Linked DNA regions of Astyanax mexicanus. The protein of the gene in region 4 interacts with the protein of the main gene of each other region in a pairwise test. Links are inferred from orthologs where the notes say so. Each region holds a gene or a part of one and is shown on either strand. Other genes may lie near its edges. The genes, in order: roraa, retinoic acid receptor beta, rorb and psmc5.

Region 1 (7,835 bases), on a different chromosome or scaffold from region 4:
CATGACAGGCTGGTCATAGACATAAACATATGCCTCATACAGAGACAACAAGACATGCAGGAACATCAGCAGTACTGCAAGAATGATTTGTTAATCATAACATGCATGTATGCTTTGTTGTTTGGCAACAAATGACCTCATGCAAATCACCCATACAAGATGAGAGAGCAGATACGTAGCATTTGCTTTGTCACTGTCTATTATGATCATTACAATGAAAAGCAAATATCTGTAAAGTTCCTGTAGACACTGTAAGCTCATGTAAGTTCACTTAACTTAAAGAAGAAATAATGCAATGTGTTGCCCTAAAACACGTAGTTAAGCTTTCTAGAAGAAAAAAAATGATTAAATGTCAAAGGTACTTCAAGCTTCAAGTTTTATTCCTATTTTATTTTTATTTCCAATTCTTTGTTGTTCTTTTAGATGTTTTTAATTTTACTTCTCTTTGTTTTAATCATGTTTGAATCAATTATGCTTTATTCTTATTTTAGTTTTTATTTCCATTTTTACTGTTATTCTTTTACATGTTTTTTTAATTTGACTTCTCTACGGTGCATTATTCTTTGAAGAGTACCATAGAAGAACCACAATTTGTGCCTAGAGGAAACAATTACATATAAGGTTATTTTAGAACCTTTACAGTATGTGTTCTATTTAAATGATTCTTCACATTCTCATTTACATCTTGTTTACAAATATAGTTCTCTATAGACATATACAGAAAACCAAAAATAGTAATTTTATGGCTTTTTGGTACTTTTATTTCAGGAAATGAACAGTATATTCCAATATATTTAATACAATAGACATCTCTAGACTAGAGACTGTACCACATACAGTCTATAATAATTAAAAAATGTGTAGACTGTGTAATTCATACACATGGCATCAGTTTCTGAATGCTGCAATGCCATCAAAACTACATTTTCTTTCTCTGTATTTTCATCTTTTTAGAGGCTCACTTAAATATCTGCAAGTAGAATTGCACCCACTGTCATCTCACATGGCAAGGTATAATAAGTAATTGCTTTCTCCCTCTAGTAAAAAAAAAAGGAGAAAAATAAAAAATGTATTTTGCATGTCAAACTTGATTTCTTATTATGAAAATAAGGTAGTTGCAGATGCTGGTATGAAAGAGAGCCCTTGATGTCTTTCGGTGGTTTGAAGTTAGATCTCAATTTTATTTGGCTGGGGGCTATCATCAGTGTGTACGCAGTGTCAACCAAGCCTTGAAGAGAGGCAAGAAACAGCCGACGTAGGACCAAACTAGTTGATTTTCAGTGCTGGAGCTGCAAAGGTGCATTAGCTGTGAAAATTGCAGTAATTGGGAGCCTTAGCTTTTTCTTGAATTGTATATACTTTACTTGAAAAATAGTCAAATTATACTAATGCAGAATTACATAATTATAAAATAGGTACACATATTATGACACACATCGGTAGCTTACTTAGAGAGGTTTTACTGCTTGTGGTAATTATGAGAAATGGCTTCGTAATGTTGTATAATATTGTTTTATCTTAGGTGCCTTCATGAATACAGAAATATAAGTAACTAAATAACAAAAAAAATCTAAATGATGAGAAGTGGTATGCAATAAAATAACTCATGTGCTAGGGAATAAAGTAACCTACACAATTTATTTTTCTGGTGTTTTTATTTAAGCAATACTATAAATTAGATTAAAATGTAATACAATTAAATTAAGATTTATTTATTTTTTATTAAAATGATAATCTGGGCTAATCTGCAGATTTGTAATAATATTATATAAAATGTATTACATAAGATTAATAGCTAAATGCAGATCAAAGCATTTCTGTTTTAGAAAGGCCTGATTTGTAGTGGCTGCACACTAATACAATACAGGGCCTATATGAACGATGCTGAATCTGATTAGAAGGGGAAAACTGCCTTTCCTTTAGGCAGGGATCACTAGAGGTCACTCCTTATTACAGTGCCCTGTGATAGGCCATGTGACAAGCAGTCAGTAATCTTTGACTTTGTTCAAATGTGAACCTATTGGCTTGGCCCTATTGTGTGTGTGTGTGACCGCAGTCATGTTTTCCAGGGCTATGATGTAAATGTATATGTTAAACACTGTCTAGCTCTCCATGCATTGCTTGACTACTTATTAGAGAAAGACTATGGTGATGTAAAGTGGCCTATCATAAACTAATACACTCCACACCCTTCAAGTCAAATAGCTTGACTACATGCTTTGCAATGTTTGGCTCCACTGCTTCTATTGCTTCCTAATAGTGATAACAGTCTGCAGGTGATTGCCACCATTAGGGCCACCTGTTCAGGAGAATGTGAGTGGAGCTGGGTGTCTGTATTTGCAGAGCTTTTACAGGTAACTGCTCCTTTCTCTGAAGTGTGTCGCTTAAAGGTTAACTGGCTGACGGCCGACCATGCCAAAGTCCACGTGCTCTGCTGTGAGGGGGCGGAGCTCGGCGCGCGGGCTCCGCCAGGGCCCCGCCCCCTACACGACTGCGCACGTGGGCTTTGAAAGCGCCAAGTCGACGAGGATGTGGAGTTTTGGGGAAAGAGAAGCAACACCATAACCGAACCAACAGCTTTCGCTGCTGCTATGTCTGCTTTCTGTCTTTAAAAATCATTAATACACCCCCAAATATGTAGAGAGTGAATTTAGCTAGGCAGTGTTTTGATCAGCTGGCGGAGTCCGTGCTAATCTAGACCAGTTTAATCTACTGAGGGAGACAGATAAAGCTGCCCTCCAGCAACCCTCAGTGCTCAGAGGAGAGTGCAGGCTTGAGAAATTTTACATTTTACAGAGACAGTGAAGGGTTTTTTGGATTTTGCTCATAATATAGTATATTTTAGCTTTGTTTCATGCTGTATAGTTGAAATACAGATCATTGTTAAAGCCAAAATTGCCAAAAGTTAGTGTTGCTTTGGGTATCCAATCCATCTGACAAAAAAGAACACAGTCAAGTCTAATTTAATGAGTAATTCAAACAGTTCTTAGTAATAACATTAGACACTACATACTATGACATATAACATGACAAGCTACATGCTATAAAGTTAGCAAATAGCTAACTTTTAATGTTAAAATTAGCAAGATAGCTAGCTAACTAATGCACTCTAATGCTTTGGCTAGCTAGTTAAATATAGGTTAAATGGCTAGTCTGTAGAAAATAAAATAATAATTTAAATAACATTAGACATATTACATTATGTAAGGTGCTGCTTAACCTTTAGTACTTAGCATTTTCAGTGTTTTATTGCTTTGTGGAAAGTTCAGATTTTACAAGAATGATGGTGCACACTATGGCTGCAATAATATTATATATACCTGATTAGCAGTGAAATAGTAATATTACTGTCTTAACATTAGCTTGGGATTGGGCTCATAAATTCTGTAAACTTGACATACATTGGAGAAGCCAAGACTTCCAATTGGGCATAGCCCAGCTTTGTTTTAGGCATGTACACAGTAACCTGCCAAAAGTCTCGGGATAGCAAATGTTTGACCAAAAAGTGAATGGTCAGTGTTCTCATGGCAAGGGGACATAAAATATCAAAGTTGAAGTAAGGCCCAATTGTGAGTGCTATTGATATGGAGGGCATTACCACTCACAGTGGACAGTGCAGTGTGTGGTGATGATGGTGATCGGCCGTGTCTGGCTACAATTATACCTGCAAACAGACAAGCAAATCTGGCAGAAATCACAATATTCAGAGCAAGAAGCATATCCTGCAGGTCCGGGCAGCAAACAACATAGTACACATTTTAGTGAATACAGACACCAAAGTATTTTTTATTATGTGTAATGTACTTTTTTTCTATAATATATAATTTGAAAAAAATCTAGGGAGAAAACAGTGTGTAGAAAAGCTATTAATTATTAGCAATAATTAATATTAATAATATTAGTTCTGGAAAAAAAAGAGACCACTTAAAAATGATGAGTTTCTTTGATTTTACCAAATTGAAAACCTCTGGAATATAATCAAGAGGAAGATGGATGATCACAAGCCATCAAGCCAAGCTAAACTGCTTTAAGCTTTGCACCAGGAGTGGCATAAAGTTATCCAAAAGCAGTGTGTGAGACTGGTGGAGGATAATATGCTAAGATGCATAAAACTGTAATTAAAAACCTGGGTTATTCCACCAGATATTGATTTCTGAACACGTAAAACTTTATGAATATGAACTTGTTTTCTGTGCGTTATTTGAGTTCTGAAAGCTCTGCGTCTTTTTTGTTATTTCAGCCATTTCTAATTTTCTGCAAATAAATGCTCTAAAGGACAATCTTTTATTTGGGAGAATTCAGGAGAAATGTTGTCTGTAGTTTATAGGATAAAACAAAAATATTCATTTTACATATACCTATAAATAGTAAATTCAGAGCTGATTCAGAAACTAAAGTGGTCTCTTATTTTTTTTTCCAGAGCTGTATATAAATCGGATGGGTAGTGAAATAGCAATGTCAACATTAATATTACTCTGAGTTTGGGCTTATAAATTTTATATAATTTTTTTATACTTCAAATATAATTCTTAACATGATCCCAAATAAAAACAAATACATTTAGAGAGAGACATTCTATTTACTTACTATTACATCGTATGATTGTTTTGTAGGTTGCTAATTTCCTTCCTGCACGTGCCTGCTACTGAGAGTGTGAGACGCAAAGAGCATGCAGACATTATCATTATCTGTGAAGCACAATAGTCTAATAAAAGAAATAAGGACATGAAAGAGGGAGGCATCGTTCAGCGTGTGTGAGAGAGAGGGCTCCTCCACCGCTCCACATCCATTCATCGACTATTGACAACCTCTCCCTTTTCTCAGTTGTCTGACTGGAGCTCTCACTAGCGCTGCCAGTGGACAATCAGACCTACACACCCACCTCTGGCTACACTCGCGTTTTTTTTTTGAACATTTCTTAGTTCTGCTCTAAATTTACACGGCTAGGCGAAGTCCTCTTAGCTCGACTAAAATCTCGCCGCGACGCTCCGTGATCCACTGGAAGACAGAAGAGGAGGAGAAGGCAGAGAAATCCGAGATACAACATGGAGTCCCCTCCAGATCCAACCAGCGACCCGGGCAACAGCGCCTCAGAGTCGGCTACCCCGGTCAGGGAAACCCCGGTAAACCTGGAGACTCTCCGCAAAGCTGAGCACCACCAAGCCCCCCCGGTCAGGAGACAGAGCTGCTCCAGCACCAATAGAGGTAAGAGAGGCCAGCGAGTTTAGTGTAGTGTAGAGTCAGAATCAGCGGCGCGAGCCATCGATTCGCCTCAACACTGAGGGATGCATCAAACTTCAAAGTGAATCAACTTAAAATCGTGGAGGAGCTGCGCCTCAGATGGGTGTTTAGCGCTTTATATTTCACAGACACGTTCTCCCACGTTTTAGAGAGCTCGTGCACGCCACGCTGTATGCTCCACCGTGTATAAAAGCACGTTTAATTGTAGCTAGCTGGCTAATATAGTGTGGAGTTGGGCTGCCTCTGCTGCTTCTGCTGCTCGCGTAACCGCGGCTGACAGACAGACGAGCAGGCAGGCAGGCAGGCAGGCAGGCACATAGGCAGCTCTGAGCACTGTGGCAGGCTGGGTGACTGGCTGGGCTGGCTGTGACACTGTCTATGGGCACCACTGATTAATGACTTTTTTGATTTAATGACTCAAACGGCCCCTCGTTATCGAGTTCTCAGCTCAGATCAGATCAGAGCGTACAGACACAGTCGTGCTTTATTAAAAGTAGTAACGTAGTAGGGTAGCTAGCACGGGTTTAGATATATGGCAGCACTGATTTATTCCAATACAAGTTCGCTGGGCAGTTTTTATTCCCCCAATCGCATAACTAATTCAGTCTATGATGACAACAATATTTCACTCACAGCACTAGCAGATAGCTCCATAACTTGGAGTGTCATATATCGAGTGTGTCTCTGTGTTTCTTTGCACACACACACACGGGGTGCTGGGGTGTGTGTACGACTGTGCAACTGTGCATTTTTCACGTTTGCTGCTTGCTGCCGCTGCTGTCAGTGGAGCTCGGCGTGTCGGTGCACGCGCTCTCTCGCTCTCCTTCTCATTTCGGGCTCGTGCGCCGCGCGGACACTCCACGCTAACGTGGGAAAACGTCAAAAACAAGCATGCATGCAAGAAAGCAGCACAGCAGGATGAATATGCATGTGTGTGTGTGTGTGTCACTGGTTGGTTGTGGCCGGACCACAGCCCTGTTCGTGGTGGTTTTGGCGGTGGTCGGCATTATATCATCATGAAGCCCAGCATTACAGCATTACGAGCAGGCAGTGTGAGAGTGTGTTTTACAGTAGAGACAGTAGAGAGGCTCGTTTAGCCACTCCCCCCAGTCGGCATCCTCCATTCAACTTGGCTAACTCGTCCAAGTTCGGCGGAAAACAAATAATGGGTTTGTACGTTAGCACGGGGTTAGCACACAAGAGGTAAAAAAAAGTGCGAGGGGCTGAAACTTTTGGGGGCTCGTGCAGCTCGCACTTTATAAAACCAATAACGTTAGATCATTAATGGGGAACCATAATATATCATAAGGTTATGGCAACGTTTTATTTTCGAAAAAAAAAAAAGTCTGAAAAGTCATAGATGTTCCTTAAATTATAAGACAATATTAAACCTTATCCAGAACTTAATTTAAAAGTTGCCTTAATGTTTTTTGTATCATGTGTATAAGATTAACTTTTAAGCAACATTTTCAAAAAGTTTCCTTATGGTCCAAAAAGATAGAAGCATAAAACAAGCACCTGAGCTAGTTTTTTTTTGCACCGTGCATTACATACATAATATTATAAGATTGTTATCTTACATGTTCTGAACGTTCTTGCAACTTTTATAAACATATTTAACATGTTCAAATCCCATCCAAATGCAAGATAATTTTTGTAAGGTTTCTAATGTAGAAGAGAAGGCACGTTTTCTGAAATGTTAGGAAAACGTTCCCAGAACTATGCCACACAACCTAACGTTATATTTCAATTAAAAGAAAAATTTAAATCAGAAGGGGCAACCTGCAAAGTTCTTTAAAAAATGATTCAAATATTTTAAGGAAACATTAGGGGAATGTTTCCAAGCCAAACGTCCTGTAAAGAAATTTGGCATTTCTGTAAAGAAAACTTTCCTGGGGAACCAGAGGACAGCCAAACATAACTTTCTCTAAAGGTTTTATGGTACCACTTTAAAATAAAGCTCTTTTATAAAGGTTTTATAAATAATTTATAAATGAGTTTGTTTATGGTATATAAATTAGGTTATAAACTATTAATAAGCTATAACAACACATAGAAGGGCAACAGTGGCCTGTTGTTTGCCAAATAGTGATTTCACATTCATTTATACGGTTAAACTTAATATCTTACTAGATGCAGATGCTTATCTTACTTTGTCTTTTCCATCCGTCAACATTACCATATCTGTTATTAACTTTAATGACCCAGATTAATAATTTGTCCAATAATCATAACACTGTGTTTAATAGCATAAAATAACATTAAATAACTAAACCGACTTTCCATATTATTATTTTATTAGATATGTTAATGCTGATTGAAGAAAGGAAAAACAAAGTATGATATGTTTTATGTGCTGTAACTTATTATGAATGATTAATAAAGTATTTTTAAACTAACTATTGATAAACTTTCTCATAGACTATTTATAAACCCTTTATAAAGGAGCCTTATTTTAAAGTGACACCTGATTTTAAAGTTTTACAATGTAAAGTTTATGGGAATGTTAATGCAGGGTTCTCTAAACGTTTCAGTCATTTGAAGTTATCATAATAATATTGCACTTCGAAATGTTTCATGTGAAATCAAGGGGC
Region 2 (7,753 bases), on a different chromosome or scaffold from region 4:
TGAACTGAGTGCAGCTGTAATGCTGCATACAGTATTATTAAACAAGGATTCTTACAAGTAAATAAAACAAGTGACAACTATAAAACTTCTAAACTAAAAGTACAATTCGTATGAGTTTCTTTGATTTTACCAAATTGAAAACCTCTGGAATATAATCAAGAGGAAGATGGATGATCACAAACCATCAAACCACCAAACTGAACTGCTTGAAATTTTGCACCAGGAGTAAAGCAGCATAAAGTTATCCAAAAGCAGTGTGTAAGACTGGTGGAGGAGAACATGATGCCAAGATGCATGAAAAAACTAAAACTGTGATTAAAAACCATCAGGGTTATTGCACCAAATACTATAGTTTATAGAATAAAACAACAATGTTCATTTTACTCAAATATAAACCTATAAATAGCAAAATCAGAGAAACTGATTCAGAAACTGAAGTGCTCTCTTCATTTTTTTTCCAGAGCTGTATATGTTATATATGGCTACATGATATAATGCTGTCGTGTATACATAGATAAAAACAAGTTGTGACTACGATGTAATGTTCTTATTATTAAGCATGTCATGTAAAAAATATCTAATCTAATAAACAAAATAGAAATGTATGCATGTAATCCGTTTGCAATATATTTAAATTAGGGATGCACAGAATTTTTGAGAACTCGAAATATTCAGTTATTTCCGCATTTGATATAATGAACAAAATCAAACAGTGACTATATTATTATATTATATTATGTCATATTGCATTTTTTCCCTAATATGTTTATTTTCAACAGGCCCCCTTCTCTGGTGGTGTTGCATACAAGAAAGCTGCTACACACAGTGCCAGTAGGGAGTGTGGGAGAGAGCTGGCACAGAGCTGATAAACAGCAGGTTTAAGTTCATTTTTCCAGTTAATAAAATGAAATGATATAAAGTCTTCAGCATCGTTATTAAATTTAGAATCTGTTTACACACAGTGTATTACCCCTTCACAAAGTGTATTTTATTCATCTAAAAAGTTAAGCTTGCACGAGCTTTTACAGGACCAGGGTAGTAGTGTTTAGCTGAGCAGTAGTGCAGTTAACATAGCCCTAGAATTAGCTTGTTTACCTTGTTAAAACTCACTTCTGAGTTACTGTTGCTTTTTTGTGCTTTCAATATTGCTTTAACGTACTGTAGCACTGTCAAATTCTGCTGTGCAGAACATTGTGGCACATAGAGAAATGGATCGGTGCTCACAGAAAAAAATGAAATAAAAAATCACATGCATGCAAACAGTGACTGAGTGCTGCGGGCTTTAATTTACAATGTGAATGTCCTTTTAAATTTCTTTTTTATTTATTTTTTTATTTATTTAACTTCTAAATCTACCCTCACGTTACCTAGTTTAACCTCATCTCTCTCTCTCTCTTTTCTCTCCTCTCCCTTCTACATTCCTTGTTTTGTATCCTGATTTTTAAAAAAGCCCTCTTTGTTTTCTGAGTGTTTTGTTATTAGGATTTAATGACATGTAATATGTTTAATTCTAAAGCAGTGGAAGCAATAGGCTTACATTTTATATTGTACATTTCTTGTACTTTTAAAATGTATGTGTTTAGATTTTTTGTTATAAATGTTTAGTGTTAAATAAAAAAAAAACATTTTTAAAAGAGTAGTTTTATCATTCCGTTTACTTTAAATAAGAAAAATATACAAAAAATTTAAACGATTCAAAATTAAAGTTAATTAATTTAAAATTCAAAATTAATTTTAAAAACTATTAATTTTTAGAAACACAGTAATTCTTTCTATATTCGCACCAATATATGTTTTTGAGATTGTTGCATCCCTATTCTGCCCTATACTAAATGTATGCACAATCTTCAAATAACTGTCACCGCTGCATATGTGCACGCATTAATTAATTGGCCGCGGCGCGCGTGCGTGCGCCAATTAATGAACTCATGTCATGTCAACACGCAGCAATGTCATAGAAAGAAGCGAGCGTCATATCAGCAATCAAGCAAGGTCACGAGCGGTCCGACCAACAACACTAAAAACAAAAAAATAAAGTGTGTGTGTGTACGAGTGTGTGTGAGACAGGGACAAGAAGAGACATAGAGAAAGTGGAGAAAGTGTAAAGGACTTGACCGTACAGTGCGCGCCGCCGCGCCGGTGATGCCAGTCTGCGCGCGCGAGCCCTCGGAAGCACGCCTTCAGCGCCTGCTCCTGCAGCATGCACGAGGACGGGGGCGGAGGGTACAGGTCCAGCATCTGGCCCGGGCTCACCGCGAGCACGTCCATGCAGTCGAACATACCGGGGTCCACTCTGTGTCCCACCTCCTCCCAGAACCAGCAGAACCACCAGAACCAGAACCAGAACCAGGAGCAACAAAAACAACAACACCAGCACGCACGAGCACCAGCTTTGTAATTCACGCGCGCGACTACCGGACCTACTCCCGGTCCAAACTGTCCCCCAACTCCATCCAAGTCCTTGTTCTTGTTTTTCTCCGGTGCTTCTTTTCCAACTCACGAGCTGGACCTTTTAGCACGCGCGCTCCCTCTAAAAGCCGATGCGCGAGCGCGTGTCATCCTCTGTTTTTGCTTTAAAACAAGCACAGAAACAAGCGAATTCAACATCAAACTCTTTTCTCCTCTTTTCCTTCATTTACAAAATCACGTCTCCGAGCCTAAAAGATGACGAATGGGCTCATCCTGCCTCCGCGCGAGCTCTGTTTCCTACCAGTACGGTGTCGCGCGCGCGCGGAGTGAGGGATTGAATCGCCTAATGTATGCGGCTGAACTTTCCGTGAACCCCTCCGAGGCGGCTACCCTTCAAATGACCCCAGCGCTCTGACATCATCACCGAGTCCCGGGATTCTCACGCACAGAGAGAGAGCGCGAGCGCTGCGGAGCCACACCCGCATTCCGGCACGCCACGCCTCCTGCGTGCTCCCATTGGCTGGAGCGTTCGCGCCTACTGCAGTAGGATTGGATGGAATGACTAAAATCGCAAAACTCAGAGTCGCTGCCGGCCACTCGCAGCGATTATGGGCGGGGATTTGTGGTGACGAGGGCGTGGTTTGGCGATGAGGGGGCGTGGTTTGTATGAAGACGGGTGGAAAACAAAATAACACAGAATAAAGAGATAGAGAGAGAGAGAGAAGAAAAACACAACACTCGATGATAGCCTAGTTTTTTTGTTGTTTTTTTGTTGAAGAAAAAAAAAGCTTCAAAAACACTTAAGATATTTTTTCGGAATATTTTTTACAAATAAAATATTTAAATATATTTATATATTTTTTGGTTTCTTCACCAATGGGACATGTTTTTTTACGCGCCTAGACAGTCTGAAAATATGAGGGCAGTATAAAAAAGAAAACAAAAGCAGGAAAAAAACAACCCACCCTTCTCTGTGATCTTTTTGGGTGTAAACAAGGTTTTTATTTTTGTGAAAGGCTCCCATACATTTTCTTCACCGTTTCTAGAATGTCTAACTCTTGTGTAATAATAATAATTCAGGGTTTCTGCATATATTTTACATTCAAATTAAATGAAATTTAATGGCCTTATTTTCCTTCCTGTTCATTCTCTCTCTCTTTCTTAAGGCAATTTAAATGTAGTAAATGTATCTAAAATATCTACAAATATCTAATACTATGTAATTTATAAACACAATTTGCTCTACTATATTTATCAATCAAAACAATCCAACACCAGAATGAATCAGGTATAAAAAAAATACACTTAAAAACACTAAAACACTAAAAAAAAAAATCCTTAAGATTTTTTAAGAATATTAAAAGCTTGAGAAAGAAACACTAACAGGAACCAATAATCTAATGAATTAAGATTTAAAAGCAAGAAACTCTTAGAAAATTATGAAGAAACACAGTGAAGGAAAAAAATAAAAAGTTATTAAGAAAGGTAAGAAAAAAAAATAGTGCACGTAACAGAAATACTGATAAGACCCAAGACCCAAAATTTTACTTCTAAAAAGCATAAGGATGTAATCCAGATTTTTAAATGCATTACAATAAAAAAGTGAAACAGACATATTAAAAACTATAAAATACATTACAAACACATTGCCACAACTGCAAACAACCGTACCTGTTCAGACCTTCACACACACACACACACACACACACAAACACACACGCACACAATTCTATACAGAATATATCTGATGTTTGAAGTATTTAGAATATTAAAAACGATAAAAAAACCTTTAAAACCGCATTAAAAATACTTCATATAAAACTGACCAGCCCCCAAATTAGACCTTTAGCCTATGTTCACACTGACAGACTAAAATGCCTGAAATCACATTTTCTTTACCTTAAAATGACACAGATCTCCTTACACATGGCTTTGTTTTGTTTTCCTACCCCATGTGCTCTGCCCTGTCTCTGCTCTAGCCCCACCCCTAGTCATTACTGTTGTTGCCTTGTGTCTTGTTTTTAACCCCGCCCCCTCGTTACAGGTCCCAGGTGTTCCTCACCCTCCTTGTGTACTGAAGCCTCTTTGTTTTTTAACCAAACATAGTATTCAAACACATAACATACAAAGCTACAACACATACCCCATTCACACATTTGCTATTTAAACAGCACAATTATAACAAGATGACAAAAATAATAATAGCAATAAAAATAATAATAATAAAATAAAATTCATGGTGCTATTGTCAGCATCAACATCAAACACTTTGACAACATACATTAATCTTCAAATAGTTTAATGAATAGTTTAATGGATCCTCTTCCATAAAACGCCTAAATTGACCCCAGATCTCCCTTAAAATCTCCCTAAATTGACGTGACTTCTTAATTGCAAATGTTAATTTCAACCACTGACCTAATGTGGGTGCCGACATACTTTTTCATTTACAAGAGATCCAATTTTGATAACTTTGTTGCATGGTCTTAGATTGTATATATATATATATATATATATATATATATATATATATATATATATATATATATATATATATATATACATATATGATTAGTGGGCATGCAACATGATTAAATGTGTACATCAGATCAGATTTCATGCATCTTAGAAACAGGTCACTTAGATTTATGAATGTGAAACATCCAGATCTAATCCGAGTAAAGATATGTGAATTGATTAATGAGGCTTGTAATGTGAACAAGCCTCGTCTTGTCTCTCTTTAGTAACAGAGGGGGTCTGGAATCGCTCCATGACTCTCCAAACACCGCATTAGCTCCCGCTCCGGCCGCTCGCTTGTCCCTCTTCCAACTCACACAACTTTATACCCAGAGCTGCGGCGCTGCTTAATCCACCAAATTTAGAAACCAATTTCGCAGCTACCGGAGTCGCTTAGGATATAAATGATGTTCCTGAAGCTGAGCAAGACTTTAATCTTTAATCTTCACTGCTTACGAGTGCACATGTGTAGCTGCCTATGCCTATGTGTGTGTGTGTGTGTGTGTGTGTGTGTGTGTGTGTTCTGCTAGACAAGAGGAAGAGTTTTAGAAGTTTTGGTTGGTTTGGATTAGTGCTCTAAAGCCCATCCTGCACCAATAAACGCTAAATATGTAATAAAAGGAAGGAAGATACAACAGAAAATTTACATTAAATTTGAACTGTGTTCCAAAACTGCAGCACAAACTCGACTTTTAAGGGTTAAAACCTCACCCTGACCTGAATTCTGTTCAGACAGTACTCTGTGGTGTGAATGGTGTAGCTGGAGGAATGTGACCGCACACACTCATGACTGTAGTGCAGATAAAACAGAAGACAGATAAGGAGGGAAGTCTATTCAGTTCACTCTTTATTCTACTGAAGTGCAGCAGTATATATGGAGTGTGTCATTTCTGTAATCGTAGCCTAAAGGAACGTCTGGCCGGCTGCATGTTCTCGTGCGCGGCTGTGTGTTATTGGCTGGATAGTGTGAAATTAAAAGCAATTTAAACACGTGAATCAAACTGGCTTTTAAAGTCATGGTAAAAAGTAGAAACGCTGCAGAGGCTTAACTACAGTAACGTCCAGGAGTTATAAGAAGGCATAAAAACATACCATTCACCTACATGCAAAAAGGCTCTGTGTAAATTGTGAGATTATGAGGTACATGTAGTGTAAACTACTGAAAGACACTCGCTGAGCCGTCGCTGACTGACCTCTGATCAGTCGAAGACACAGCAAAAATTTGGCATGCTAGATATCTGACCCAGTCGGCGACTGGGAGCCAGGAGCAGCGGCCAACCTACAGCTAATGAGTGAGTCCTCTATGAATAGAGCTGAATGGAGCTAAAAAAGCCAAAAATGGTGGCTAACTACAAAATATTCTTCTGAGTATTCCTTTACATTTAGAAAGTAGAATAATGAATGTTTCTTAACAAAGCAAATAAACCATTATTCCATTATTCTACAACATTCAGGGTTTAGTCAGTAGAGATGCTATCAATACTGCAATATGAGCTGATTGGTTGGTGAACTAGAGCCTTTAGAGTTTAAAAGGCTTTGAAATTCTGTTTGCAGTGTTGAAACATTTGATATAGTTCTGTGTTTAGGATATAAGTACATGTTTTAGTATAAAATTGATCAGACATTTATAAATTTATATGAAACCGTTCATGTTGGACTCACTTTAAGTGCGTATTCTCCTCTCTATAGAGATTTTCTAGCATAGCATCGATAGTTCTCGAGTGTGTTTAGTTCTGGTGTGTTCTGGTCGTGATGAAACGTGTTTTTGGAGAGCAGTCAGGTGAGTTGGAGATTTCTCACAGTGTAAAATCGTGTAATTTGTGGCTTTGTGTCATCAATCAGTTCTTTCCTGTAAAAAAAAAAGTCTCAACACCGCAATGACTCTCGATTACAGCACAAAAAGTTTACAGTATGTACCCCTGTACAGAGAGTAGTGCTATTCCAGGTACAGCATTTTCATAAACAGTAAATATGCTTGAGAAATCAATCCTACGCTTTAATACTGAAGCAGATTCATTTCTGTGAGTAATATTTTGAAAGGCTGGGGTGCTGATCGTCAGTGCAGGCGGTGTATAATATCTCCAGGCATGTTGAAAAGAAAACATCCATGCTAATTGATGATGATTTAGTTTCCATTCTTCTCTGAGCACCATTACGTTCTGCAGCACCGTGTTTCTCAGAGGCGAGCTCGGTTTCGAGGCGAGATCGATCCTCCGCTGCTTTATGAATAATGGAGAGACTCGACAGAGGAGCTGAAAAGAAAACCCCGATCCCTCCTCCCTCCACTGCACACGGTCCCTGACCCCCCGCGGCCCCCGCGCTGTAACTCTAGCCCTCCTCATCGCCCTCTTCTGCAGACGCTCTCTCCCCTCCGCAGCTCAGCCTTCAGCCCCGCCAGGTAATGGATCCACCTGGAAATCCACCTGTAATTAGAAAGTGATAATGAACCGCTCCATCAAGATAAGCCACTTTTTGGCATCGCTGCTCAGCGTCTCCGTGTGTCGCGTGCCAAGACTCACTCGAGCGAGACGCCAGACAGCTCCTGATCATTTAATAAAGTCGGACGAGACCTGACGTCACGGGAGGGACAGCACCGACACAACACAGCGAGATTTAGACAAGATTTAACTGATTTAGAATAGAAAATTTGACCAATCTACAGTATACAACACAGCAGGGGTCTGGCCAGATATTTTCCATTATGTGGCCACAAAAAAAAAATCTGTTTTGGAAAATAAAGTATAATGAGGTGTAATGGGATTTAGTGCTACACACTAGTAGCTCTCCAGCCCAGAGGTTTGTTGAACCCAACTGCAGAACAGTTGAT
Region 3 (7,964 bases), on a different chromosome or scaffold from region 4:
ATAAAACTGCATAGGGGTCAAAAAAACCCTCCAAATCTTTGAGATCAGTCATGAACCAAGTTTAAGCCCACTACAGCTGCTGCTTTAACTTCATACTTTTATTTTTATTTTATTCCTTCTTTTATAAATCCTCATTTTATTTTACTTCTATTCCCAGTTAAACCAAACTGTGCTTACTTTTATGAATCTGGGTTTGGGAATCTAATATTTTTTATAGGCGGGTATTTTTAATCATAAACATAGTCTGTGAGACCTTAAAATTAGTACTTTTTAGTCTTCTTCATCATCATATTTTAGACTAAATATGTTTTTAAATTTTAAATTAATCATTAACTGTTATGATATAAGATTTGGTTAAGCCAAGAGCTGCAAAGCAGTAACATTGCACCTTAAAGTACTACAATAAAGCATGTTTCAGTCACAAACTTCAGTCTGTGAGGCTAAATGAGGTTACTTCTCAATCACAAAATAAAATTCTGGGTCAAACAAGGTCAGTTTTGTTTCCAACCAAAGATAGAAAGAAGGTTTTACAAATAAAATGAGCCAATGGGGTTAAACAATATATTAATTTTGTATCCTATAAAACAAAAAGTAAATAGAGAGATCATTACACTTTATCCACATAATGAGTTTTAGACAAACAAGACATATTTTAGTCACCAAGTACAATTTTAAAAATAAATTTAGCCAAAATAACCTATAGCCTATTAGACGTTAATATACATTTAAGTCACAAAAATATTTTATGATTAATTTTGCTCACAAAGAGTGTGTGAGGCCTAAACAAAACTATTAGTTTGTGAGGACAAACAACATAACTTTTAAAAAGAGTCTGTGAGGCTAAGCATTGGAATATTTTTTATAACAAAATGACTCTGTGGAATCCAAAAAAAAAAATAATTTACTGATAAAATGAGTCTGAGCCATAAACAAAGTCTGTGTGGCTAAAAATTTACTTTTAAACTATACCGTTGGTTTGTAGAGATACACTACTTTTTAACCTTAAAAACGAATCTGTTTGGAATTAGTAACTTTTTACATATTGCTTTTATTTTTATTTTATTTTGAACAAATATGTTTGTGGTGTCAGTTGTAATCTGGTTAAGCTGTGTCATAAAATGTGAGGAAGCGAATGCATTTTACCCACAAAATGGTTAGAGTCTATGATGCGAACAAGCTAGTTTTTACAAAACTTTTTAAAAATTATAACATAGCATTTCTTTTACTAATGCATTTTTAAACATTCCTTCAGACTGTGACTTTATTTGTAGTTTTAATTTAGTTTGACTTCTAGCCGATAAATAAGCTATTCTCTGGACTTTTTTATTTATTTAATACAATTCAAAAACTGCCATCATCACTGCCATTTCCAAACAAGCTAGACTAGCTAGCTTTATTGTTAATTATTTCTCTTGTTTTGTTAAGTGCTTTAAATACAAGGAGCGTGAGTTATAGGCTACTTGCATCAAAATGTATTATTTTTAAGTAAAAAATTTCGTTCAGACATGAAACGAATGTAAGAACATATACACACACAGTTCTGTACAACAGTTTCACGCGTTAATTTGGAGGCTAAATAAAATAACTGCCCTATATAATCGGTCGGACTCGGTGGTCGTCCCCCGCGCGCTGCACTTCAGCGCAGTGGGCGCGAAGTGGCGCCTGACTGACGGAAATGGGTCAGTGGAGCGGACGGAGTAGCGCGCGCCTCGTACCGACCCGAGACCCCACATTAACAACGCCCGATCCCTAAAGTTGTTCGTCCACGCGGGGTCTTTTCCTTTCTTTTTATTTATTTGTTTTTTTTTTACCGACTCCACTGCACTCCATGCACGCACTACGCGGGGCTGTAACGCAAGAAATCGAGCGCAATAAAAGCAAAACGCACGTGAACGTCAGCATGCGCGCGTGCATTTCTCAGGTTGGATTTCGCCACCGCGAGGAGGTCAAACTCCACCGCTGGTTCACGGTTGCATAAGCTTGCATGCTTGCGAAGCTTTTAACGCGAGCACCAGCGCATGCACGCGGGGGTACGGAGCGCACCTAGGGGGGCGCGCTGCTTCTGCTTCAGAGTTCAGTTCGCGAGCGATGTGTATGTCTGTGTGTGCTTGTTTTTTTACGGTGTTTCCTGCACCTGTAGTGCTACTACATACAGTCTATTGTGGAGTTGATTATAAAGAAAAAAATAGAAAAAATAATGTTCAGTCTGGCTGATACAAAAGAGAAAATACCGAATAATTCGACCTCGAATAACAACTAATTTAACTAAAAGTCAAATACTGTATATATACTGTGCTTCAACGGTATGAATTCAATAAATTAGGTTCAATACATATTTGTAAACTGTTGTTTGGTAATTGCTTTCACTTTACACAAAAATACAAAAAAATGTATTCAGGATATTTCAGAATAAAATTTATGCAATGGTGAAAAAGTGGTAGAATTAATCAAAACCTTTTTTAGTATTCAGTATTCGGCATTTAGCTAAATGTTACTTTTTTGTTCATCCACAGTCTCATCTCAACCCATCCAGAGACCCCAAACCCACCCTTTTGCAACCGGACTGACCGGCCAGGGAGAGTCTTTTTTAATTATTTAAATCAGCCTGTCAGAAACAGTCGTGCTCCTACCTCGCATGGTGGTGTCGGCGGCGACTCGCTCCCAGTCATGAAGAGACGAAACGAACCCAAACAAGGGGTTTTAAAAAAACAACGACAATAAACAACAACAAAAACAACAACAACAGCCGCAGAGCTGCACCGACAACCGCAAGATCCCCGGCAACAAACAACAACAACCGAAAAAAAGTAGTTCTGTTTCTGTTCTGCTTCTGATTTGTTCTGCTCTGTGTGTTTTGTTTGGTCCTCTCTCGTCACGGCCCAAGCGACAGGTTCGCGCGCGTGAGCATCCCCGTTAAACTCGGCGCGAGCGTGCGGACTCTCACGCGACCTGAACGGGCTCAGCGAACCCACGGAGGTTTTCACCGCTCGCGCGGGGCTCCGCGAGTTGGGAGGTGCGCACGAGAGACCCATAGGAGCTCCGATTGGACGATAGAGCTCGACCACGCCCACTTTGCACGAGCCCGAGCTGGGGGGTCTCCGTGCGCGTTGTACAGAACCGAGGCTCCGCCCACTCACTGATGAGAGGCTGTGGTTTGTGGAGAGTTGGAGGAGAGAATGTAGAATATAATAATAAATAACAAAATATAACTTTTATATCATCGCATTATTGCTCTTTTATATTGCACTGGAATGTATACATTTAGCATTTAGCTTCTCTTGCTATCTCTCTCAAATATTGCAAAGAAAACAAGTTCATATTCATAAAGTTTTAAGAGTTCAGAAATAAAATCTGGTAGAATAATCATGGTTCTTAAGCACAGTTTTCATACAACTTGGCATGTTCTCCTCCACCAGTCTTACACACTGCTTTTGGATAACTTTATGCTGATTTACTCCTGGTGCAACAATTAAAGCAGTTCAGTTTGGTTTGATGGCTTGTGATCATCCATCTTCCTCTTGATTATGTTCCACAGGTTTTCAATTTGGTAAAATCAAAGAAATTAATAATTTTAAGTGCTTTCTTATTTTTATTTCCAGAGCTGTATATCCTTAGACCCCTACTCCAACTGCAACAAACAAATGCTTATTTACATGCTCATGAATAATAATGAGAAGCTTAAGAAAATGTTTGGTTGTTTTTGAGTTACATGCTTATCACATAAAATAACATGCTTATTATATATCTACAAGTTTTATTTTTAAAATCTAAATCAAACAAAAATTATAATTTAATAATATTTTGACTTTTATTGTTCTGTAGGGTTTATAAATTTAGTTCCTGGGATTATAACTGTTATTATAATCAGCTGCGATTCCTCATTGGTTGTCAGTCTTTTAGCTTATTCATAGATTCAGATTCCCCCGTTTGTTACAAAGAGCATAACGTTTCTAACTTATTGATTTATGTGATTTTACATCACATTCTGCTTGTCTACCTGTAATAATCACCACTTTGCATGCTCATTAGTAATACTTAAAAGATTACACACTCATTATATATAATAGCATGCTTATTACATTGTTATTACAAGCGTTATTAGAATATTTTAAACATGTATACATTCTCACAATATTACTGCATTTTGAGTTTATTAAGTTTAGCTTTTTAGATTATAACTGTTATTATAATTAGATGAGAGGGGGATTTTAAGCTAATTCCTATTATATAAATGAATAAGCATGTTATTTGCAGAAAATGAGAAATGGCTGAAATAAGAATAAAGATGCAGAGCTTTCAGACCTCAAATAATGCAAAGACACAAGTTCATATTCATAAAGTTTTAAGAGTTCAGAAATTAATATTTGGTGGAATAATCCTGGTTTTTAATCACAGTTTTCATGCATCTTGGCATCATGTTCTCCTCCTCCACCAGTCTTACACACTGCTTTTGGATAACTTTATGCTGCTTTACTCCTGGTGCAAAAATTCAAGCAGTTCAGTTTGGTTTGATGGCTTGTGATCTTATATCTTCCTTTTGATTATATTCCAGAGGTTTTAAATTTGGTAAAATCAAAGAAAAAGTGCTCTCTTATTTGCTGTATATGTACATGTATATATATATATATATATTAAGATGAAATAGATGGAGAGAAGGTCTGGAGTGAATGTGAAGAGCAGCAGAGGCTGAGGAAGCAAAGGCTGTGCAGGCAAACCATGCACGGCATCCTCCACCTCATGACCCACTAACCCTTTTGGGTCAGATTTGAGTTCACTTGCCGCTGGATCCCAGATAGAGCTACTTCCCTTCTTCCTTAGGGAACTCCTTCAGAAAAAGTCAATTATAAACCAGATTGAGCAGCAGTTACATATCTCTATTGTGTATCATCTGCACAGTGATTACTACCTATAAACTACTGTACAGTATACACACAGTTTTGGAAAAAATAAGAGAGCACTTAAAAATGATGAGTTTCTTTGATTTTACCAAATTGAAAACCTCTGAAAAAAAACTGCTCGAATTTTTGCACCAGGAGTAAAGCAGCATTAAGTTATCCAAAAGCAGTGTGTAAGACTGGTGGAGGAGAACATGATGCCCAGATGCATGAAAACTGATTAAAAAACACCAGGGTTATTCCACCAAATGTTGATTTCTGAACTCTTAAAACTTTATGAATATGAACTTGTTTTCTTTGCATTATTTGAGGTCTGAAAGCTCTGCATCTTTTTGTTATTAATATAAATATTTTTTGTGTGTCTATATGTGTGTGTGTGTGTTTGGGTGATGTTTTTCACCATTTTTTACTAAATCCTTGAATCACGAAAACTTAAATGTAAAATAATGTAAAGAATGAATGTAAGATTATCACAGTGGGATTTTATTAATATTTAATCATGCTTGTTTAATTGTATCTTTTTTAACTTTGAACACAGATTGTTCGTTGTGAATTGTGTTCAAGAACCACTTACATTTTCAAAAAAGTCAACTTCAATGTAAAATACAAAAAACGAACAAGTAGCAAATCTTATTAAAGATCAGAATCAATATTAAATATTATTTTCTCTGTAGAAATGATTCCGTTTACTCCCCATCTCAGTTACCGAGATTGTTCTCTGTGTCAGTTTAACAAAAAATTCAGGTCTTGTCCTATTTTGTGTCTCATGATTCTGTCTCTGTGATTTTTCCTGCCCTAATATTTGTTTATTTACTCACCTTTACAAATGCCCTGTGTTTATCCTATGTCTCCGCCCCTGTCTTTGGTGTGCTTACTTTTTCATTTTTAGCTCCGCCCCCTTGTTACCTGGTCATACATGTTTCCTTTTTACTGTCCTCGTTCGTTTATATTTATAGTCCCCTTTTTTCTGTGTTCCTCATCCTTGGTTGTACGTTTTTGTTTTAGTTTTAATTTTTTAGTTTGTTTATTCCTGTGTTTTTAATATATACTCGCAAGTGCATACGCTCTCCTCATTTCTGTCATGCTCCCTACCTGACATTTAATTTATTGTTTTATTTTTATTTTCACTTTTTAAAAGGTTCTGCATTGTAGATTAATACTAAAGTCATCCAAACTGTGAAGAAAAACATATGAAATTATTTAAAACAAACAAAATATGTTTTATATTTTACATTCTTCAAAGTAGCACCTCTTAGTTATAAGACAGCTCTGAATATCTCTGTTGGATTTTCTCAGTCAGCTTTATGAGGTAGAATCACTTATAATTCAGGCTTTCAGTTAACAGCTGTGCTGAACTCATCAAGAGTTAATTACTAGAATTTCTTGTCTCTTAATAAAGTGTTTGAGAGCATCAGTTGTAAAGTAGTAGTTACAGGTATACAGTGAATAGATAATATTTGATTTATGTTCTAATACATATTGTGAGAGGCAGGAACTACTCAAAAACTAAATAAAAAAATACTTTAAGAAAGAATGAATATCAGTCAATCCAAAATATTTCAAGAACTTTGAAAGTATCCTCAAGTGCAGTCACTGCAAAGACCATCAAAACGTTTTGAGTAAACTGACTACATCATCAGGACTGGGATGAGATCATGTAGGGTGAAAAAATAAATAAATAAAATGAATGAAAATGTGGATGCTATAAACCACCAAATGCTGAGCTAACAGCCAATCAGCAGGCTGCCCATCCACTAATCGATCACCCTGCTGCTCACTGATTAGCCAATCAGAGGACAAATGAATAACTTCTGAATAAATTAATTCCATATGGGGGAGCTGTCCCTGTTAGAGCTCATGTTGTTAATGTTGTTACTTGCTAGTTAAGTTTTACAAATTCCTAATGTAAAAAATGGGGAAATTCAAGCAAGAATTCTAGTCTTGTATGTTCTAGGTGAAAACATACTCTATACTGGTAATATATATGATTAGCCAACTCTTTATTAGTTTACGCTCTATCCGGATGGGATTAGTTTCTCAGGGGGACGACTGTGAAAAATATTTAACACTTCTCCTCAGTGATAAAAACTCTTACATTCGGACTGCAATTGAAAAAACAGGAGAACAAGTGAGTTTTTTTTATTGTCTTTCTCGGTCACATGACATTGCGGCGTTCAGTAGCTCCTCCATTTCCACTCGCTGTTGTGTTTTTTACGTGGATCTCCGTGGAAACGCCCATGCGCTCAAAGTGTAAATACAGTGTGCGGCAGTGGACAAATAGCTCTTTTATTAAACACGAGGAGACGAAACTCAGAGATGTGTCCGGACGGGACTAAAATTACCGGAGGAGCACTGAGTTCAGCAAAAAACTGTAGATAATTCAGCTTGTAATTTTCTCAGAGGACGTTTGAAAAGTGGGGCTTCCTGATTAGCATGCCGACCCTCCACTGCCCTCAGCACAACCAGCAAGCTGATTGGTGCGTCTTTATTCAGGAACACCAATTGGGGGATGAGCGTCACAAGAAATCCTATTCATATTTCAGTCAGTGGCTGGTCTCTTCATTAATAACAGGTATTATAACACATCTGCACGTTGAGAAAAAGCGATGCTAAAATAATATATTATGCAGCCCTAGAAGGTCTTTTAAAAAGTGAAAACATTTAGAGACCTCTCTGGTAAGAATGTCTTATTGCACAGAAGCATGTGGATTAGTAATTTTAATGCAGATTAATGTAAATAAATTACTCTGTGAAATTCTGTGTTTTTTAGATTTAAAAAAAATATATAATATATTGCCATAGTTGTTATTGGGATGGTTGTGCCAACAAGTTCATATTCATAAAATTCATAAAATTCGGAGAGAGTTCAGAAATCAATATTTGGTGGAATAACCAAGGTTTTTAATCATAGTTTTCATGCATCTTGGCATCATATTCTCTTCCACCGGTCTTACACACTGCTTTTGGATAACTTTATGCCTTTACTCCTGGTGCAAAAATTCAAGCAGTTCAGTTTGGTTTGATGGCTTTTGATCATCCGTCTTATTCCATTATACTTGATTATATTCC
Region 4 (7,210 bases):
GCAAAACTGCCAACTTACACTGAACACAACTTGGCTGATTACATTATTTAGGAAAAGGTTTACACTGTGCAAATTTGATTTACTATTTTAAACTATTCTATTGAATTGATGTAGATTAAAGCCATATCTCTGACTTGTCTTTACAGGTAAAAGTATAAGTCTACTCAGTGCTTAGAACATCTTGTGCTTTTTACATTCCATACAGCAGTGAAGCCACTGCTGTAGTAAATGATTGTTAAAGAGATTAGCTCTTCAGGTTGTTTTTGTTTTTAATGACACGTGCACTTGGTCATTATTACATTTGTTTTTGCGTGTACTTTTAAAACCCGACCTGTGAGATTATTGTTATATAAACATTTTTTTACTGCTAGTATTGAGATAGGTGCCATTGTCGAGAAGTTTCAACATGCTCTTGTACTTTTTATAATCAGCTGAGTGGGGTTAAACATTTTTTTGTAAGACAATGAAAATAATTGCATGTTCTATTTTGTAGTTTTTATATCAATCAAATGCTACTTTTCTACTTTTTTACAGGGCTGTTGTGTTTTTGTACAATAAAATTGTCTGCCCACACAAAAACTTTGTTTTGTGTAATTTTAATTAGGTCGGGATGACGGGAAGTATGATAATTCACATAATGTGCATTGACACATTGCAAAGATTTAAAACAGGTGAAAACAGGTGCTGTGGCCCAAACTGCACACTATCACACTAAACAGTGTATTAAAAAATCTATTATCATTAGAAATGTGTTAATTAATGTGTAAAATAAAGTGTACAAGTGTATGTTTAGAATGCAGCCATGGATTTCTCCAGAGAGCAAGCTGGACAAAAAAGTGTGAGGACTACTTTTCATTATTATTTTTCACCCTGATCTCACTAACACTTTTGCCACTGAATGTAATCAAATTCTCACAGTAATGCTTCAAATCTGGTAGATTTTTTTTCTAGACAGTAATGAAAGTATCCTACAAAATAGGATAAACTCTTATTTCAGCAGAAACAATAAAGGAGCAGGTGACCGAGTACCTTTATTTATATAATGCACATCTTTGTAAGATGTATACCTTAAGACTGTATATACAGTCATTATATAAAACCAGTGAGGCTGAGGGATGCAAGCTGCTGGAGTTTAGTACAGTGTCCACATAACTGCTGTCTTGTGGAGAGAATCAATAACAGTGTTAACAATAAAGGGCAGAAGCTCTCCTGCGGCTCTTTCTGGTGCTCGTTTCTGACCAAACAGGCCAGTCTGGTAATACCTGTCTTTGGTCTCAGCTTCCAGCTTCCTCCTGGAGTGCTGGCCTGCTGGGCGTGGCCTGAGAGACTGTTTACAGAAGGGCAGGCTTGAACAAAGTCGCATGGCTGTTGAGGCATGCAGGTGTAATGTAGACATGCTGTAAACTTAAACTTGGGCCTAGCTTAAAAAAAGTATGTTATGAATCAGGACGTAACAGTGCGTGTGTTTGTACCGAACCATCCATTATGGTCACAATTCGGTGCATGCTATAACTAGGAAACATACAGTGTACTTATTTGTACCAGGGTCAGGTGCAGAAAGTAGCACAGAATACACCTATGTACTGTTTAAAAATCCGACTCCCCGCAGAATCCGACTCCCCTTCGCGGGCGCGCGCATGACGTTAACTTGTGGGCGCAACTAAGAGACTCGCGATTTTGGTCACTTCTGTGTGTTAATTAAGCTTTATCTTTCATTTTCCTTCACATCAAACAGCACAGTGTAATCAAAAGCCAAATGAGGACTCTCATTGTGATTAGTTTGGGTAAACCAGGACAGTTTAATATAAGGAACTATACACAATGTTTCTCGCAGCATGCTTTTTAGTCATAAGGATGAGTTTTACATATTAAACACTGTTTTAATCCACAACTGTGAAGTGAAAACACAGCCGACGGTGTGTCATTGCACTATACGCTGACTTTTTTTATTTTATTTTAGTTCACACTTTACTGCATAATAAAGTCGCCTGAACCTAAAAATGATAGTAGCAGATTTATATAAATAGATTTGTGTTGAAATGCTAGTAGCTTTCACATTCACAAGGATAACTTGTTAAAATGATGTTCATCTTTTGCATTAACATATGAATGATTCACTTTTGGTGTCTTATCTTTCCTTGTACAGTAAACATTACATACTAAAGGCTTTATTGGAGGTTGTATAATTTTGGCAGTAGAGTATGTCCTGTGATGGATTTTACTTTATTTTATCTTTAATAGGGGGGCTTCTAATGGGGGGAGTATTTTGGCAGCATAATATTTTTATGCCTGCCGAAATTAACCCCCACCCCCTATGATCTCAGCTCTGCAGGGTTCTAAATGTCATGTAATTCATTTTACATACATGTCCTGGTGTGTAGAGTATGTCCTGTGATGCATTTCACTCTATCTTTAATAGGGGGGCTTCTAATGGGGGGAGTATCATTTTGGCAGCATTATTTTTATGCCTGCCGAAATCATACTCCCCCTATGATCTCAGCACTGCAAGGTCTCAATGTCCTGTAATGTATTTTACATACATGTCCTGGTGTGTAGAGTATGTCCTGTGATGCATTTCACTCTATCTTTAACAAAGGGGCTTCCAATGGGGGAGTATAATTTTGGCAGCATCATTTTTATGCCTGCCGAAATCATACTCCCCCTATGATCTCAGCAATGCAAGGTCTCAATGTCCTGTAATTTATTTAACATACATGTCCTGGTGTGGAGAGTATGTCCTGTGATGGATTTCACTCTATCTTTAACGGGGGGCTTCTAATGGGGGAGTATGATTTCGGCAGGCATAAAAATGATGCTGTCAAAATTATACTCCCCCATTAGAAGCCCCCCTATTAAAGATAGAGTGAAATGCATCACACGACATACTCTACACACCAGGACATGTATGTAAAATAAATTACATGAAATTTAGAACCCTGCAGAGCTGATATCATAGGGGGTGGGGGTTAATTTCGGCAGGCATAAAAATATTATGCTGCCAAAATTATCCTCCCTCCATTAGAAGCCCCCCTATTAAAGATAGAGTAAAATCCATCACAGGACATACTCTACTGCCAAAATTATACAACCCCCAATAAAGCCTTTAGTATGTAATGTTTACTGTACAAGGAAAGATAAGACACCAAAAGTGAAGCCCGCGAAGGGGAGTCGGATTCTGCGGGGAGTCGGATTTCGGCACAACGCCTGTCCCAGTTCTTACCCTAAACCCTGGGCCCCTCCTGGAAGCGTATTTGCAGGGCAGTGGGGCACCAGACCAGGATCGAGGAACACTTGCTTAAAGGTCTCATTCCATCATTTTTGTAATTTATTTTATTTATTTCATTCAAGTCAAGTCAAGTAGTTTTATTGTCAATACTGCATATGTACAGGACATACAGAGAATTGAAATTGCGTTACCCTCCTTCCCAAAAATTACAGCAAGTACCGAAAATAGATAATATAGGTATGGGATGTGTAGTGCATGTCCATTTTAAAAAGTTCTAGCACTGTGTGTGTGGTAGTACAGAGTTTCAGTACTGTGTTGGTGGACCCAGCACTTCTATATTCTGTAAATGAGGTGAAATCAATGAAGACAGATTTACACACTGCTGCGGTGATGCTCTCAGGATGTGTCACTTGAGTTACTATATGAGTTAAAGTGAAGGTAAAGAACTTTGTGACACATACAGCACTGAAAAAATAAGAGAACACTTAAAAATTATGAGTTTCTTTGATTTGCCCAAATTGAAAACCTCTGAAATATAATCAAGAGGAAAATGAACGATCACAAGCAATCAAACCAAGCTAATTTGCTTGGATTGCGTGGCATAAAGTTATCCAAAAGCAGTGTGTAAGATTGGTGGAGGAGAACATGCCAAGATGCGTGATAACTGTGATTTAAAAAGGGTTATTCAATCAGATATTGATTTCTGAACTTGGTTTCTTTGCATTATTTGAAGTCTGAAAGCTTTGCATCTTTTTTGTTATTTCAGCCATTTCTCATTTTCTGCAAATGAATGCTCTAAATTACAGTATTTTTATTTGAAATTTTGGAGAAATGTTTTCCGTAGTTTATAGAATAAAACAACAATGTTAATTTTACTCAAACATACACCTATAAAGAGCAAAATCAGAGAAACTGATTTAGAAACTAAAGTGGTCTCTTTATTTTTATCCAGAGCTGTTTATTACTGTCTATCTCTTTAGGGATACAGCAGTGAGGGACCGGGCTGAAGCGGCGGAGGGCTCCGCTGGAGGGCGCTGTCGAGTTTCTACAAAACAGACAGCCACTGCGCGCTGCGCTGAAAATGGCGCTGGACGGACTCGACCATGTAAGTGTTTCTGAGTGTAATTAAATAAATCTCCTGTTTATGATGCGGATAGCTGTTTGTGGCTTGTATCGTTTTTAATATATGTATTTACTGTGTAGAACTGTTAATACGGAGAGAATTAGTCCTCAGACTGTTCGCGCTGTGAGCCGAGGCGCTGCTTTGCTGTCTCATTGTTAGCTGGTATGCTAACGCTAACGTTGAAATGAATGGTGGTCAGCTAGCTCCTCGCGTGCTAACAGATGAGCAGCTTCTCCAGTATGTTAATTATTATATAATCTACTGCTTTCTCTTATTATTTTATTATTATAACTTAACAACTAAGACGCCGGACAGTCGTTAAACAAACAGGTCTCCTAGAAAAGTCGAGGTTTATATCTGGTGTGTGTGAATTGGTGAGTTAAGAACTGCTAATACAGTGCTAGTAAATTAACGATCATGTTTAATGTATTTTACTTTTTACACTGCCTTTAAATATCATGTATTTTCTTTTTTCATTATTGGTTCTTATTTTGCTGCCTCGGCTATAGGTTGTTATATTCGTATGTTCTCTATTTTAGCTTGGTTAACTAAGTCAGATTTCTGACCCTAGCCCTGAGTTTAACCCTACCTATCACCCGGATAACTGTGTGGATTCATGAATTAATCCTGCTATTCTTCTCCTTCTGTTCCTAAATGTCTCTATTTCTGTTGTTTTCTGCCCGTCAGATGGAGTTGGAGGAAAGTAAAGGTGGCTCAGGCCTCCGGCAGTATTATCTGTCTAAAATAGAAGAGTTACAGGTAAGGATAAAGATCTTTAGCTATACGTTTGACCCTCCAGATTTGCATTTGTGAAAATATGTAAACTAATTTGCTGCATCATTACTAGTGCATCAAATCCCTCAAAAAAAAAAAAAAAAAACAACTTTAATTGTTTGTGAGGTGTGTGCTTGTTGTGAGGTTTCTGCTGTCTCACTGTTATGGCAGGGCTCTTTTAAACCTAAACTAACATTAACCTTTACATTAACTTTAAAATAACCTGAAAGAGACACACTGGACAAAATGAAAATGACATTTATTGTTGTTTGTAACAAGGCATTTCATTTATATATTTTTTTCATTGCTTCGTTACATATAATGTACGTTTTGCTCTTTTTTCCCTTTATTTGTTTGTGTGGTGGTTGGTTAATTGAATATTCCTTAATTAGTACATATAATTCATAAATAATATTTATTGCTAAATATTATGCCACTTCATAATTTTTTTTAAACACATTTTTAGCACCCCTTTAATGTGGAAGTTTTAAAGTGTCTATAATATTTAAATTCTTCTGCTATAATTTGATGTTTTACCATCAAGTTTTATGTTTTGTTGTTTAACTCTGTCTTTTATGAACACAGCAAACAATCCTTGTGTATCAAATACAGATCAAACAATCCTCAAGTGTTCTATAGTCTCTGAAGATGAAACGGAGGAAAAGAGAGGATGGAAAGCTCTTCTGGCCTGAATGCAACTTTATGCCGTGTAGAACATGCATAAGCTGGATATCTGAGGAGAGGTTCCCAGCGCTTCATTTGGATATCTTGTTGTCTCCTAGTTTATTTACACTGGTCCCAGAACAGCATTGAAACTTCTCTGCCACTCAGTCACGTTCTCCTCATCACTTATTGTTAATGAAAACACGCTGACCTTCCTGATTCCTAAAAAAAAAGTACAAAAAAACTTCCAAAGTCTTGTCATTGTGACATTGTTAAAAAGAGAGCACACCCATTAGTACACTAATCAGTTTTGTCAAAAAACAATTATTCATATTTTGTTGTTTCTGTAGTTGACAGTGAATGAAAAAAGCCAGAATCTCAGACGTCTGCAGGCCCAGAGGAACGAGCTAAATGCCAAAGGTAAAACAAACACTGTTACCCTGTCTGAGTAGCCGTTAAAACTAATGGTGATGCGAAATCCTGTATCAGATATAATGAAGGACAGTGCAATTGAAAACCTGTTTCTAACCTGACCCTGTTATTGCTTGAAACATATATTTTCACATGAACTCCAACTTTGTCTAAGTTTAATGTTTGTGAATGCAGTGAATGAAGCCTGTGTTGTTGTTTTTTATTCAGTGCGTCTCTTGCGGGAGGAACTGCAGCTGCTGCAGGAGCAGGGCTCCTATGTAGGCGAGGTGGTCCGAGCTATGGACAAGAAGAAGGTCCTAGTAAAGGTGTGTTATGCTAATCTCTCTTACCACCCAACTTTTTTATTTGTCTTATTCATGCCTATATGAAACTGCTTTTTAAGTAATATTCTATTGTACTGTTGGGTGTTTAGGTTCATCCTGAGGGCAAGTTTGTGGTGGATGTGGACAAAAACATTGACATTAATGATGTAAGTCCAGCTCTTTAATTTGGACCAGCCTCACTTCTTTAAATTTTTGCTGTAACGGGGTTATTCCAGCAGGCTTGGTGAAGATTTTTGCATGAAATCCTGGCTGGTGATTAGTTTAAACTAATGTCACTATAAATAATGACATCAGTTCCCTTTTGTTGTTTACCTGTAAATTATTATTGCAGGTTGGTAAAAAAAGACATAAAATCCATTTTATTACGTTTATTAAAAATGCACATTATCAAATTAACATTCAGACATTTGATGTTATTTGTACAAACTAAAAGGTAGAAAATACATTAGTCCACAGGAGAAAAGGTTAATGTCTTTTTACAGGATAATACAAATAAAACTGGATTAAATTAAAAAGGAATATTAAGGCTATTCTTAATGATAAGATGATAGTGATTTGTAATGATTCTTGCTTTTCTGAAGCTGCCAGGAAATTAGAGATGCTGAACATTTAATATTATTTAAATGCTTAATCCTCAGAACTGTTTTGTAGACAGTATAACTCTAAGTG

What was found.
Region 1: the proteins of psmc5 (region 4) and roraa interact in a two-hybrid assay, tested with the Homo sapiens proteins (3 studies listed by BioGRID and IntAct). The link is inferred for Astyanax mexicanus from reciprocal best matches to the Homo sapiens genes PSMC5 and RORA.
Region 2: the proteins of psmc5 (region 4) and retinoic acid receptor beta interact in binary tests that used the Homo sapiens proteins (3 or more experiments, as listed by UniProt). The link is inferred for Astyanax mexicanus from reciprocal best matches to the Homo sapiens genes PSMC5 and RARB.
Region 3: the proteins of psmc5 (region 4) and rorb interact in binary tests that used the Homo sapiens proteins (3 or more experiments, as listed by UniProt). The link is inferred for Astyanax mexicanus from reciprocal best matches to the Homo sapiens genes PSMC5 and RORB.

What each region holds. Positions count from the first base shown.
Region 1 is NC_064409.1:56,481,393-56,489,227, forward strand, and holds the start of roraa (nuclear receptor ROR-alpha A), read left to right. Parts: upstream 1-4,835; 5' UTR 4,836-5,045; coding exon 5,046-5,205; intron 5,206-7,835. UniProt on the Homo sapiens protein: Nuclear receptor that binds DNA as a monomer to ROR response elements (RORE) containing a single core motif half-site 5'-AGGTCA-3' preceded by a short A-T-rich sequence.
Region 2 is NC_064410.1:607,442-615,194, reverse strand, and holds the start of retinoic acid receptor beta, read right to left. Parts: upstream 3,007-7,753; 5' UTR 2,281-3,006; coding exon 2,121-2,280; intron 1-2,120. UniProt on the Homo sapiens protein: Receptor for retinoic acid. Retinoic acid receptors bind as heterodimers to their target response elements in response to their ligands, all-trans or 9-cis retinoic acid, and regulate gene expression in various biological processes.
Region 3 is NC_064429.1:7,764,088-7,772,051, forward strand, and holds the start of rorb (nuclear receptor ROR-beta), read right to left. Parts: upstream 3,008-7,964; 5' UTR 2,638-3,007; coding exon 2,631-2,637; intron 1-2,630. UniProt on the Homo sapiens protein: Nuclear receptor that binds DNA as a monomer to ROR response elements (RORE) containing a single core motif half-site 5'-AGGTCA-3' preceded by a short A-T-rich sequence.
Region 4 is NC_064422.1:21,903,918-21,911,127, reverse strand, and holds the start of psmc5 (26S proteasome regulatory subunit 8), read left to right. Parts: upstream 1-4,200; 5' UTR 4,201-4,307; coding exon 4,308-4,331; intron 4,332-5,036; coding exon 5,037-5,108; intron 5,109-6,136; coding exon 6,137-6,206; intron 6,207-6,425; coding exon 6,426-6,523; intron 6,524-6,630; coding exon 6,631-6,687; intron 6,688-7,210.